Rattus norvegicus: one gene and its partners. The protein of the gene in region 3 purifies or fractionates together with the protein of the main gene of each other region. This does not show direct contact. Links are inferred from orthologs where the notes say so. Each region holds a gene or a part of one and is shown on either strand. Other genes may lie near its edges.

Region 1 (5,000 bases), on a different chromosome or scaffold from region 3:
CATGAGCTGCTGGCTCTCCCGTCCAGGGCAGGACAGCATAGGCACCCCTGTGTGTTTCAGGGCAGGACAGCGTAGCCCCTCCCCCGTGTGTTTCAGGGGAGGACAGCATAGGCACCCCCTGTGTGTTTCAGGGAGGACAGCACCCACCCCCTGTGTGTTTTAGGGAGGACAGCATAGGCACCCCCCGTGTGTTTCAGGGAGGACAGCATAGGCACCCCCTGTGTGTTTCAGGGAGGACAGCATAGGCACCTCCCCTGTGTGTTTTAGGGAGGACAGCATAGGCACCCCTGTGTGTTTCAGGGAGGACAGCATAGGCACCCTTGTGTGTTTCAGGGAGGACAGCATAGGCACCCCCCTGTGTGTTTCAGGCAGGACAGCATAGCCCCACCCCATGTGTTTCAGGGGGGACAGCATAGGCACCCCTGTGTGTTTCAGGCAGGACAGCATAGGCACCCCCCGTGTGTTTCAGGGAGGACAGCATAGCCACACACACACACACACACACACACACGCACACACGCACACACGCACACACCGTGTGTTTCAGGGGGGACAGCATAGCCACACACACACACACACGTGCACACACACGCACACACACACATACACGCACACACACACACACGCACGCACACACGCACACATGCACACACACACACACACACACACACACACCCGTGTGTTCCAGGCCCCAGAGCTTCTGGAGCAGCAGAAGTACACCGTGACTGTTGACTACTGGAGCTTCGGCACCCTGGCCTTTGAATGCATCACCGGCTTCCGGCCCTTTCTCCCTAACTGGCAGCCTGTGCAGTGGTGAGTGGGCCTGGTACTGGTGGGAGGGCTATCTCGGGGAGCAGTGAGCCCCTGGCTCCATGCCTTGTCATTCAGTCCTTTTCCAGTCCCCACGTTAGGCCTGAATGGTCTGTGGTCCATTCTCCTTTAGGACCCAGCGGTTGCAGGTCAAGCGTTTCGACCTTGAGCAAGAGTGGTAACACTAAAAATGTTAGTAAATTACTGGTAAAGAGAACAGAGGTGCACACATGGCACATCATGAAGGCACACTTACACATGTAGTAAAACTTGTCAACAACACGTCTTCATGTAGACAGTTTTTACTTAAGGTGGTTTCTGAACTAGTAATAAGTTCACATGTTCTAAGCTTCAAAAGAATAAGGAAATAGAGTGGAAAAGACTGTCTCATGCAAGTTTCCATACCACCTGGTCTCTCCCCGAAGACACAGGGTAATCACTAGCCTGGGTGCTTCGTGGATGCTTTTACTTCCTGAGCAGGTGTGTCTGCTTAGTGACATTCTCTCTGTGCTCGTAACTGAGCACTGTTCTGCGTGTGCCTTGAAAGCGTGTGTGTGCACGCGCTCACACACACACACACACACACACACACACACACACTCACACTCACACTCACACAATCTTTGCCCAGAGTCTACAAGTGCTGTGAAGTTTGCCCCACATTAATTCTGCAGTATTTTGGAAGATACAGAAATAATGAAAGTCCAGAATTTGGTAGCATATATACTAAGATTAGAAACAGTCTTTTTACTTAAGAAGAATCAGCTATAACCAAATGATCTGCAAACAATCACTGAACATCCTTTCTGTCCATCTTCTTAGGAAAGACTAGCTCCTTATACACCCTTTGATATAGTCTGCGTTTCCGCTCACACTGAACACGCTGCACATCTTCCTGGGCTTTGGGAGGTCTACTCAGTCACTGTGATGTAGTTCAAGGCCGGAAGACTGAGTGGTTTATAATTGTGCTTCTTAATATAACACCACAAATAGCACCCTTGGAAAGCTGTCGTTCAGACACAGCTATTTGTCTGGTTATTTATACATTTGTGTAAACAGAATGAAGAGACTTTGAAAGAGCTCACACATTCTAAGGCTTTGATGTGTCTCGTGCCCCTGCCAGAAAAGGCTGTACAAAAGCATGCGTCTGCAGGGGTGTGCCAGTCTGACATTTTCCCTGTGCCATTCTCAACAGTAATGTCTTCATCTTTTACTCTGAGGAAAAGGGTGTTGCGGAAGGTGACCGTAACTTCTGGCCCTCCTGCTCCTCAGCTCCTAGAAGCTAGAATTAAGCATGCTCTATCACACCAGGTTTTAGTCAGTGCTGGGGATGGAACCCAGGACTTTCTTGCACACTAAGGCAAGCACTGGACCAGCTGAGCCACATCCCCATGAAAACGTTTCCATGAAAACCTGGCCTCTGAAGTCAGTTCTGGAGAAGGGTTGGGTAGTAGCAGCAGAGGTCACTTCTACAGTCAAACCCACATGGGCACAGTGCAGAGTCAGAGAGTGTCCTCTGGAAAGCCCACTGTCCGACCATAACTGCCTACCAACCAGGCTTTGGTCTTTCAAGCCTTTGGCTTCTGAAATATGGTATTTAGTTCATAGTCACACATCATAATGTAACCAGAAAATAGAATAGCTTTAAAGTGTTCGTCATATACTGACTTTAGTTAACCAAGGGATTGGTTGTTTTGTCTTCAGTTCAAACATCAACTTTTCCAAATTGGGGGGGGCTCCGTCTCTAGAACTGAAGAAGGCATCACAAACGTTGAGCTTTTCTCTGCTTATAACAAAATAAGTTAAGTCTGCATAGAACTGAGAACACCCTTAGTGGCCTGGCATCTCCACAGCTTGTCTGTTGTCTGTGAGATCTTTCCCCTAAAACCACCCTTACTTGGCTGCACAGAAGCCAAGTTCAATGGATCCCCACAGGAATCCGTCTGTGGACTGGTTGGGAGAAGACCTCCTCCTGGGCTTTTGATGTCTGGTGACATTTTCGTCCCTCAGATGACACGACCTGCAGTCAAGCAGTGCCTGTGCTGCTTGATGCACCCGTTGATAGTTCCCCACTAGCAGACGTTTTCCACAGAACCATCTTGTGTTAGTTAGAAGGCACAGAGACCCTGTCTCGACCTCCTCCATCAGCTCCTCCCCGAGCTGGATGCCAGCAGCCTTCGCCATGCAGACAGCACCTTCCATATGCTCCCTGGCTGCCCTGGATAGGACACTCACTGTTAGCCAACTGTCACTGTTTAAGGCTAAAGCATTTTGTTTTTAATGAGAACAAATCCTTTTTAGGGGAAGAATGTATTTGGACTTTTAGACACTAGAAATTATGCCAAATTTTGAGCCCTTTGTTCTGTCCCTCCATAGTTTGTCTAACATTGGACAACACATACTCTGACTAGAAATAATTTCACCACACCCGGCCACTCTGGCAGAGTACTCGGTTACTCATGAAGTGTTATTCAAATTTAAATTGTCCTTCTTCCCAAGAAGGCTGGAAACCACTGGGATTTAATTTTTTCCCCTTCCAAAACTACTTTAAATACCTTAGGAGTACACCCCTCCTTAGAAAATGTAGCTCATTTATTCTAGAGAAACCCTAGCCACACACTTTTAAAGGAAGCATGGGCCTGCTAGGTAGCTAAGTGGGTGTCCCCACGTTTGACAACCAGAGTTCTATCTCTGGAACCCTAGTGGTAGATGGAGAAAACCAGTTCCCTCAAGCTATCCTCTGAGATGCATGCCCATGTGGCAAGTGTGTGCATCCACGTGCATGAACACATACACACACACACACACACACACACACACACACACACACACACAAATAAATAAATAAATGACATTTTAAAATGAGGTGAAGTACATGTGTGCTTATTTTACATTTCAAATAAATGTGGTGCATACACAGTGACCGTGGCTCAGAACCCCAATTTTATCCTCTATCCAAACATGAGGTCTGGGTTGGGAGATGGCTCAGCAGTTAGGAGCGCTTGCTGCTCTTCCCGGGGACCTCAGTTTGGTTCCAGGCACCTACACAGGCAGCCATCAGGAAGCCTATGTCCTGCTACATACACATAAGTGTAATTGAAAATAATTGTATTTAAATGAAAGGTTGTACCTGATAACTGAAGGGCAGAGGAAATTAGAAAAATAGTCAAGAGCACTTGGTCGCGCATGAAGCCTTACTCAGATTTGAGTTGTCTCTTTTAAGCCGTCCACATAGAAGTCCACGGTGCTTCCTGGAGAACTTAGGGAGAGAGGCCATGGGTGACCTTGCTCAAGGTTGTCCTGCAAGGTCTCATTTGGACATCCCCGAGCACGTTCTGTTTACATGCTGTGGACTGAACCAGGGCCACTCATGCTACACTCACTGCCACTGAGCTAAACCCCTAACCACAGTGCAGACCACTCACAAACCCTGGGAGAGGCATCCCAGCAGCACACGGACCATTGTTCTAAAAAGCATACAGTTGTGAAGTGACGTTACAAGTGTAAGCTGGGTACTTGCCACTGAGTGACATAAAGGACATCTTAAAATGACACCCGCAGGCACTCTAAAGTCCGGCAGAAGAGCGAAGTGGACATTGTTGTTAGCGAGGACTTGAACGGAACAGTGAAGTTCTCAAGTTCCTTACCCTTCCCCAATAATCTCAACAGGTAAGGCCGTGGGGCTTCGGTCCTGAAGATACTTTTCTCCTCTTCTTAGAAATCCAGGGTTGAGGTAACAGCTGATACTTTTGATTTTATGTTTGGGTGACCAGTGCCTGTGGAAGCCAGAAGAGTAGTCAGATCCCTTGGAACTGGAGTTAGGGATGATTGTGATCTGCCTTGTGAACCTTACTGGGAACCAAACACAGCACTCTTAGCCACTAAGCCCTCTCCAGGCCCTTGGATAACTTGAACAGATATCAGAATACCATTCTGTGATGAGAACTTGACCAGTCCATCTCCACATTAGACATGGGGTGCACTCCCATATCTCATCTCCCTAGAAATCTTTTCTTATTTAATTCTTTGCTTGGTTGCTTGGTTCAATAGGTGGATGGGTGGGTGGGTGTGTGGGTGGGTAGACAGTTGTTTGGTTGAGTGGTTGGTTGGTTGGGTGGTTGGTTGGTTGGGTAGATAGTTTTTTGGTTGGGCGGTTGGTTAGTTGGGTAGATAGTTCTTGGTTGGGTGGT
Region 2 (4,163 bases), on a different chromosome or scaffold from region 3:
GCTAGGTGGAGTAGTATAGGCATGAGAACCCCAAGTTCAAGACCAGCCTAAACCACTTAGAGAGACCCTGTCTCAAAGAGGACTTACCTTTATGACTCTGTGTGTGTGTGTGTGTGTGTGTGTTTGCACCCTTTGCCTCTGAGACCAGCTGCCATTTATTTGGTTTTTTCATTTGTTACTTAGAATAGCAGTGAAGACATAAGAGATACTTTATTTCTCTCCTCCATCCTTTTTTTTTTTTTCCGGAGCTGGGGACCGAACCCAGGGCCTTGCGCTTCCTAGGTAAGCGCTCTACCACTGAGCTAAATCCCCAGCCCCTCCTCCATCCTTTGCAGCAGATGTAACAATTCAGGCGCAGAGCTGCACAACCCAGTGTGGGGGAAGGGTGAAACAGGCAGGCAGGAGGTGTCCCGTCACCACACAGCTGATGAAAGCCAGATGGGGAGTTAGCTAACTGGGGGCTTATCATCCCAACTGCACTCTTCCAGGGCTAGAGAGACAGCTCAGAGGGTAGGAGTGTTTACTGTGCAAGCATGAGTGAGGCATGACCACACCACATGTCACTGTGACCTTAATACTATGTCCTGGCACTAGAAGGAGAATTGTAGTTTGTTGCATCACAGACTAGCTCCAGGCTCAGTGAGAGACTCTGTCTGGGTGAAATATGGTGGAGCAGGAAACCCTCATCTTCCTCTGACCTCTGCATATATGCACAGGTGCACACACCTGAACACGACTAGGCTCACATACACCATAACCCCACCCCCAAAGATGGACTCTCTCAATGGATAAACATTGGCGAGTACCATAAAGTATTTTAAAAGTTCCCATAGTGGCCACATTATCCACAATGCTACTGCTCAAAAGCTCTGATATCAGGAGGCCTGAATTTTGGGAGGATAGAGCTGCTTTGGGCAGCACATGCCAGTGGGAGCACCCACCAGTGGGAGCACCCACCAGTGGGAGCACCTACCTGTGGGAGCACCCACCAGTGGGAGTATCTGCCAGTGGGAGCACCTACCTGTGGGAGTATCTGCCAGTGGGAGCACCTACCTGTGGGAGTATCTGCTAGTGGGAGCACCTACCTGTGGGAGCACCCACCAGTGGGAGCACTCGACGTCTGTCTCTCCAGGTTTCCAGCCCCGGATGCGAGCCCTGCTGGTCATTCCCGTCGTGATGGTCATCCTCATCACCATCTTTGTGGTTTTTCTCTATATCAGTGAGTACTCAGGAGGGGGAAGTGAGGGAGGATTCAGCTCTGCAGAACAGAGGCAGTGATTAATCTTGACTCGACCTCCCCATGTCCCACCCCTTCTTCTTCTCACTAGAAAAGGTGGTCAAGAAACCAAAGGACAATGAGGTAAGCCATCCCTGAGGAAGAGAAGCTGAAAGAGTGATTGGTGGGCAGGTAGGGAGGCAAATGGTGCAGGGAGACAGACTATTACTCCGTGAGCGAAGAGCTTGTATTGGATCCTCAGTGCGGATCCAATATCCATGGAAAAGGCCTCTCATGCCAACGCTGTGGCGGGGAAGTGGACACACAGATTTCTGGAGCTTGCTAGTCAGCCACTGGCTACTCCAGTTTCCAAGAGAAACCCTGACTCAGAAAATAAGGGTTGAAAGTGCAAGAAGACACAGGATATTGACCTCTGGCCTCCAATAGTGCGTACATGGGAGTGTGGACCCTCTACCCCTTGCAATACGCCCAGTACCACATTCCGCATGCGCATGCGCACACATGCACAAACAGGTTCAGGGTCTGTCCCTGGAGCACGTAGGGTGACAGTGGGCTACTCTCACCCCCACCCAACCCTGCTTCCAGTCCTCATCCCTTCCTCCTACCCAATCGTTTCCCCCTAGGGCGGAGCTGGGCGCCGGCAGAGTAACCCAGGCTGTGCTTTCCCCAGCATTGAATGCGGGGTAAGTCCCGCCTTCAGGGACCAGTAGGTGGAACCAGAGGGGCAGCCTCTCCTCCGCTGCCCGGCAGTGGCTCTGGAAATTTCCTGCCAAATTTCATGTGTCCAGCAGGGGGCAGGAGGCATCCAGGAAATCAGCTTTGATACCCCCATCCTCCCACCCCAGTGGAAGGGATTCTACTCTTCAGAGGCAGGATGGCTCTGTGGCTAGAGGTGACCTTGGATCTCATACTTTGGCTCTCCAGGTCTTACCCCCTGAGGCTCGAGGACAAGATCCTGTGGAGATAGAAGATTATCCCGGTCACAACACTGCTGCTCCAGTGCAGGAGACGTTGCATGGGTGTCAGCCTGTTGCACAGGAGGATGGTAAAGAGAGTCGCATCTCAGTGCAGGAGCGGCAGGTGACAGGCAGCATGGCCTTGAAGCCCCTGGTCTGAGCCCTGGAACTGTTTTGGAGGTGATGGTTCCGGAGCAGGGGCCTGGCTCTGACAGCCGCTGACTTTTGAAGTTTGAGAGGAGCCAAGGCAGAGCCCGGTGCAGCTAACTTTCGTGCCTGCCCCTGTCATCTCTCGACTTGCTTTTTAAAGATGGAGGAAAAGCTTTGGCGTCAGGGGTCCGCAGTAATATCTACAGAGTGCAGCAATGCAGGCCCAGAGATGTCTTGCTGCGGTTTTCACTGTAAGGAGTCGTGGACACGGGAGTCCATGACTTGTGGCTTGTGCTGCTAGAAGGCACCTGGTTGCCCAGCAGCCGGGGACTGGCTAAATAAATCTGTAATTATTTATACAACGGGGGTCTCAGAAACACTAGCAGGTGGGGCAGAAAAGAGGAAGTGGAATGATGGGTAGAGAAACAGCTTTTTAAATCACATTCCGGGCTGGAGAGCTGGCTCAGCAGTTAAGAGCACTGACTGCTCTTCCAGAGGTCCTGAGTTCAATTCCCACCAGCCACATGGTGGCTCACGACCATCTGTAATGGGATCGGATGCCCTTCTCTGGTGTGTCAAGTGACAGTGTACTCACATACATAAAATAAATAAATCTTAAAAAAACAACAATAACACACACACACACACACACACACACACACACACACTCTAAGGCAGGTGAGATGGCTTTTGTGGATAAGAGACCTTGCCGCCAAAGCTTACTGTCTTGAGGGCTGTCATTTGACCTCTATGTGTGCTCTGTGGTACATGTATGTGCACATATCTTAAGACGGATGTGATAGTGTACTGTAGAAATTATTTAATCCTGACCGGGGGTTTCTACCACTTAGTTTGTGGATGAAAGACACACACACAACCTTTATATTTCTAATAAGCCTTAAATAGCACAAGAGCTGGGCAGATACCTACCCTCTGTGCTCTAAGAATTTACTTCCCTAGCAATAACCCTGAGTTACTACTTATCATGTTCTCGTAAACTCACCTAATCCACGGTGGCTTCTCTCTCCTCCATTCACCTTCTTCTCCCTCTTGGTTCTCTTCCAACCCCAAGCCTGGGAATCCTAAACCCCGCCTATGTCTCTTCTTCCCAGATATTGGCTGTTGGCATCTTTATTTACTAATCAGAAATAATTTGAGGGTCCGGTCAGTTTGGGGGTTCTACAGTATGGACTCCAGGTCTTAGGGATCTACACTTAGCATTACAATACACAGCAAGATCAAACCTCAACAGATGTACAACGGTAACCCTAGTATTCAGAAGGAGGAGGGGAAAGAAGAGGAGGAAGAGGAGGAGGAAGAGGAAGAGGGAGAGGAGGAGGAGGAGGAAGAGGAGGAGGAAGAAGGAGCAGGAGGCTAGACTTGGATATATAGTGAATTCAAGGTCAGCCTGGGTTCCATGATACTGTCTTAAAAACAAACATTAGGGGCTGGGGATTTAGCTCAGTGGTAGAGCGCTTACCTAGGAAGCGCAAGGCCCTGGGTTCGGTCCCCAGCTCCGAAAAAAAAAGAACCAAAAAAAAAACAAAAAAAAAAAACAAAAAAAACCAAACATTAAATATCAACAACTTCTCCCAGCAACACAAAGTCACACACCCTTCAAACAATTTTTATATACGTCCTGACAGTATGTAAGCGGACTACACAATTGTATTTGAACACAGTATATATAGATATGGAAGGAAAACTATCATACCGTGAATGCCTGTGTGTGTCAAACAAAGATTTCTGATGAAGCATTGAAAACCCCAACTGCCACAGTGGTCTAGAGAGATGGATAGGTCAGGGGTTAAGAGCAGGAG
Region 3 (4,352 bases):
GGTTAAGTTTAAACTTAAGAACGAGAATATATGGTGGTTGGGGATTTAGCTCAGTGGTAGAGCGCTTGCCTAGCAAGCGCAAGGCCCTGGGTTCAGTCCTCAGCTCCGGCAAAAGAAAAACAAAAAACAAAAAACAAAAAACTAGAATATATCCAGGTGTGGTGGTTTGAACAATAATGACTCCAAATTCATATATTTTTTGGACCGTTTGTTTCTCAGCTGGTGGACTGCTCAGGAAGGATTAGGAGGAGGTGTGATCTTATTGGAGGAGGTGTGTCACTGCAGGTGGGCTTTGAAGTTTCAAAAGCCAATGCCAGGCTGTCCCCCCTCCCCTCCCTGTCCCCCCTTCCTCTCCCTGTCCCCTCCTCCTCCCTCTGCCTCCATCTTTCGGATAAGATATAAGCTCGAAGCTACTACACCAGCACATGCCTGCCTACCTGCTGCCACGCTCCAGGTCATGATAACCGTGGACTCTGAAACTGTAAGCCAGCCCCCATTAAATGCTTCCTTTTAAACACAGCCTTGGTCATGGTGTCTGCTCACAGTAATGAAATAGTAACCAAGACACTGGTTTGCTGGTATACACCTGCAATCCCGGCACTGCAAGGCAGGAGGATCGCCATGGGTTCAAGGCCATCTTACTCTATGCATTGAATTCCGGGCCATCCAGAACTTCATAGTAAGACTCCATCTCCAAAAAAACAAAAACAGAACGGAACAAAACAGAAGTAAAAAGTAAAATTACATTTATGCCCTGGGAGATGCGATTCTAAAAAAATAAACACCCCATTACTTCTCTAAAGAGAATTTAGAGGTTAAGGCCCACATTCCAGACCTTCCTGGTTCACTAGAAATACCCTGCTCCATATGATTTTATAAGTCTTCCAAGTCCCAGAAAAGCAGGAAGACTTGCTTAGTCACAGGGGTACTCAGGAGTGGGACAAAGAAAACTAGACCATAACTCTGGCCTGGATGACACAGCCCCTGTTACTTCATGCATATACTCAGATATTTTTACATAAATGGCCAGACCTTTTCCTCTTCTTGAAGTCTTGTATCCTGGACTTCTACGTGCTAAGCAAATGTTCTACCACTGAGCTACACTCCCCACCCAATTACAGCTTTACAATTAGCATTGCTTCATTAAAAGCCTCAACGTGAAGAGAAAGCCTTTCACATTAAAAGGACACATCACTTTCTAGTTTTAATTCTTCAGTACAGAACTCTGTCACATTTACCTAATACTATATCTGAGCAGCTTTGTTGATGTCCGGGAGCTGCCCGTTCCAGTATAAATTAATAATCCCACCTCCACTGAGACAAACACATTCTTACAAAGAATAATCACTTTATTAATTGAGCACGATTCAGACTGGTCTAAGGACACAAAGCATCCGGCCAACTCATAAGAGTAGCTGAAGTGATGAGAGTTTTTGTGGCCATAGGTCCGGGCAGCCATCACCTGCAACATCCACTCCCAGAAGCACTGGAGGCCGGGCGAGGACACCTCAGACTCAGGAGGCCGGGAACTCTGTAGAACAGGTGTTCCAGGCCTGAGTGCCACCAACCAGCTTGGCTGGACGAATGCTGTGAGAACAGGCTGGCATCACAAAGGTACCACCTGAAGGGTGGGCAGAGGGCCTCGGGGAGGAGCTACGTACTCCTCCTCTCGGAGCAGCCGCAGAAGGATGTTTTTCTTATTCTTGGGCCAGCTGTACACGTGAGTGTTCTGCAGCCAGGTCGGCACATGCTCCTGTGGAAGAGAGGGCAGGAACAAAGGTCACGGGACGGAGAGGAGCCCGGATTCGAGGTCCGGGCCTCAGTTCCCAACAGCTCCGGTTCGCCCTCCATAGGTGTTCCCGCCACTGAGCTGTCTTGGGAGCTGCTGTTTTGCTTTCGGAGCGTGCGAGCGAAGCTCTTTTGGCTTCGGGTGCAGGCTGTGCATCTCATTATGGAAACCACATGTGTGCAGCATTTTCTGTCAGTCTCCTGGGCTACCTGCCCTTTGCATGTCAATGTGCTTTTCACCACCTCACATGAAAGGGGTAGGACTGAGGTCACACTGAATGATGTGAATTCCCCTGTGGCTTTGGGGGAAGGATGCCAGCGCTCTGGGCTTAATCTAATTCGTGATTCTTTCACTCCGACCTCAGCTCTGGCCTGAAGAGGAAGGAGCAGAAGGGAGCTCAGAGCTGTGAGGCTGGTGTTCCACAGGCTAATTTCCATCACCCCTAGGACAGCCCTCAGGACCGTCTGTCCATGTGGAGCACACATTCTGATGAGGAGAGACCACGACCAGCTCAGCATCGACACAGAAATGAAATGTGAAATGCGCCGTGCCTAGGAAGGTGCTTCAGAAAAGCCACACAGTGATGGAAGATGGACATGTGTTCAAAAGCAAGAACATCACAGTGGCCAGAACAGAGCAGGCAGATGAAGAGGGCCAGAATTCTAGGGGCTGCATCACACGAGGCCTGGAGAGCACTGTAAGGCCTTTGGTTTGCATTTTGAGATGAGCTGCCTTGAGGATGGTAGCCTGAGTTCAGAGCCAGCACTCATGTTGAGTGCAGAAGATAAGCAATTCAAAGGTCACAACTGTCTTGAGGAGTCAAGATCTCACACAGAGGCAAAATCAGCATAAACTGTTTTCTAGGTCATCGTATAGCAAATAGCCAGCATGTCCCAAGCTCTGGCCATAAGGAGACTGACTGTCAAGTGGAATTTTAAAACAATAGCAAATATATACATATATGTATATATATATACATATATACATATATATTGCATTATGTATGCATTCCATGCATACACACACACACACACAAACACACAAACACACAGACATATGCATGAGCCAATGACTCTAACCAATTAGTCCCAGTGCCCCTAACATGTACCACTGAATCACGTACTGTAATTAACCAAAGCTCTCAGGAAAGTCACAATGCTTTACATAGGCCTGAGGGGAAAGAAAACCCCACAGCTGGAGAGGTTGCAAGGGTTCAAGGATTAGCAAGAGTTCACCAGGCTAGCAGGTTGGGAAAGGGCATTTTAAGGAGAGGGAGTAAGGGGCAAAGACCCTAGACAGAGAACATGAGTGAGGTTTGCTGACATGGCCCCGTTATGACCAAAGCTTAGGGCCCCAGGTGATACGACGGGAGAAGGAGAAAGTGGACACAGTGCTGTTCCAAAGAGCCGCATGTGTTGAGCTAAGGAAGTCAGCGGGAAGTGTCACAGAATTTTAAAACTAGAGAGATAGAGTTGGAGTTCTTTGATGTCGAAGCAGAAGGTGGCTAGAATAGAGTCCAGAGGAGGGGGAGACCGGCTGGGGGTGGGATTTGCCAGTCAATAACTGCATTTAGCCCCTGGATGAGCTAGGGCCAGCAAGGATGAGGGGTCCCTTCATGTGCCCTGTGCATTGTCCAACCTTATGTGTCCTGTCCACACAGACTGTGTCTTAGTTAGGGGTTCCGTTACTGTGAAGACACCATGACCAAAGCAACTCATAAAGACAAACATCTAATGGGGGCTGGCTCGCGGTTTCACAGGCTCAGTCCAGATCACCACAGCAGGAAGTATGGCAGCCTGCAGGCAGACATGGTGCTGGAGAAGGCGCTGAGAGTTCCGCACCCTGATTTGAAAGCATCCAGGAGAGACTCTTGCAGGCAGCCAGGAGGAGGGTCTCAAAAGCCCATCCCCACAGTGACACACTTTCTCCCACAAGGCCACACCCACTCCAACGAGGCCACACCTAATATTGTCACTCCCATGAGCCAAGCATGCTCAAGCCACCACAACAGATCTCTTGTGCGGAGCAGAGGTTCCAGTGCAGTCCTAATATCTAGGAGTCCTCCAGAATGAGGCTGCACCCAAGCTGAGTGCTCTGGTCTGAGTCTCAGGCTGTTTCCTTAGCGTCTGTCTTCCCTCGGCCAGGCCTGGAATGTTCTCTGATGGCTTGGCTTGTATTCTCTAGAGCTGTCTAGAGCAGGGAATATGTCGAGAACCCTCATGCGAACCCCAGCAAGGTTCACCTAGAGAGCTGTGCGGATTCAGTGCCCGCACTCCACGGGTGCGAGGGTTGAACTGTGTGCAGCAAAGTATTTATGTGGAGCAGAAAGCAAAGTGTCCATGCTTTGGCTCTAATGTGGGATAAGAAGCTTTAGAGGATAAACACCCTCATGTTCTTGGGCATTTGCATATTTGGTCCCCAGTGGGTGATCCCAGTTGGTGTTTAGAGAGGCCTAGGAGGTATGGGCCTGCTGAAGGAAATACGTTACTTGAAGCAGGCTTTGGGGTTTCAGAAGCCACACCCTGTCTGCTTTCTGTTTGTCATCCGGATGTGAGCCCTCAGC

Evidence for each region. Proteins that work in one complex are often made in the same cells at the same time.
Region 1: the proteins of Traf3ip2 (region 3) and Ikbkb purify together in Homo sapiens (affinity purification with western blotting; 3 studies listed by BioGRID, with this or other methods). This does not show direct contact. The link is inferred for Rattus norvegicus from reciprocal best matches to the Homo sapiens genes TRAF3IP2 and IKBKB.
Region 2: the proteins of Traf3ip2 (region 3) and Cd40 purify together in Homo sapiens (affinity purification with western blotting, with the first as the bait; 3 studies listed by BioGRID). This does not show direct contact. The link is inferred for Rattus norvegicus from reciprocal best matches to the Homo sapiens genes TRAF3IP2 and CD40.

The regions. Positions count from the first base shown.
Region 1 is NC_086034.1:76,052,494-76,057,493, forward strand, and holds part of Ikbkb (inhibitor of nuclear factor kappa-B kinase subunit beta), read left to right. Parts: intron 1-688; coding exon 689-813; intron 814-4,371; coding exon 4,372-4,479; intron 4,480-5,000.
Region 2 is NC_086021.1:174,221,888-174,226,050, forward strand, and holds the end of Cd40 (tumor necrosis factor receptor superfamily member 5 precursor), read left to right. Parts: intron 1-1,132; coding exon 1,133-1,219; intron 1,220-1,328; coding exon 1,329-1,360; intron 1,361-1,860; coding exon of another isoform or gene 1,861-1,920; intron 1,921-2,161; coding exon 2,162-2,353; 3' UTR 2,354-2,700; downstream 2,701-4,163.
Region 3 is NC_086038.1:44,606,220-44,610,571, reverse strand, and holds the end of Traf3ip2 (E3 ubiquitin ligase TRAF3IP2), read right to left. Parts: intron 1,754-4,352; coding exon 1,607-1,753; 3' UTR 1,332-1,606; downstream 1-1,331. UniProt on the Homo sapiens protein: E3 ubiquitin ligase that catalyzes 'Lys-63'-linked polyubiquitination of target protein, enhancing protein-protein interaction and cell signaling. Transfers ubiquitin from E2 ubiquitin-conjugating enzyme UBE2V1-UBE2N to substrate protein.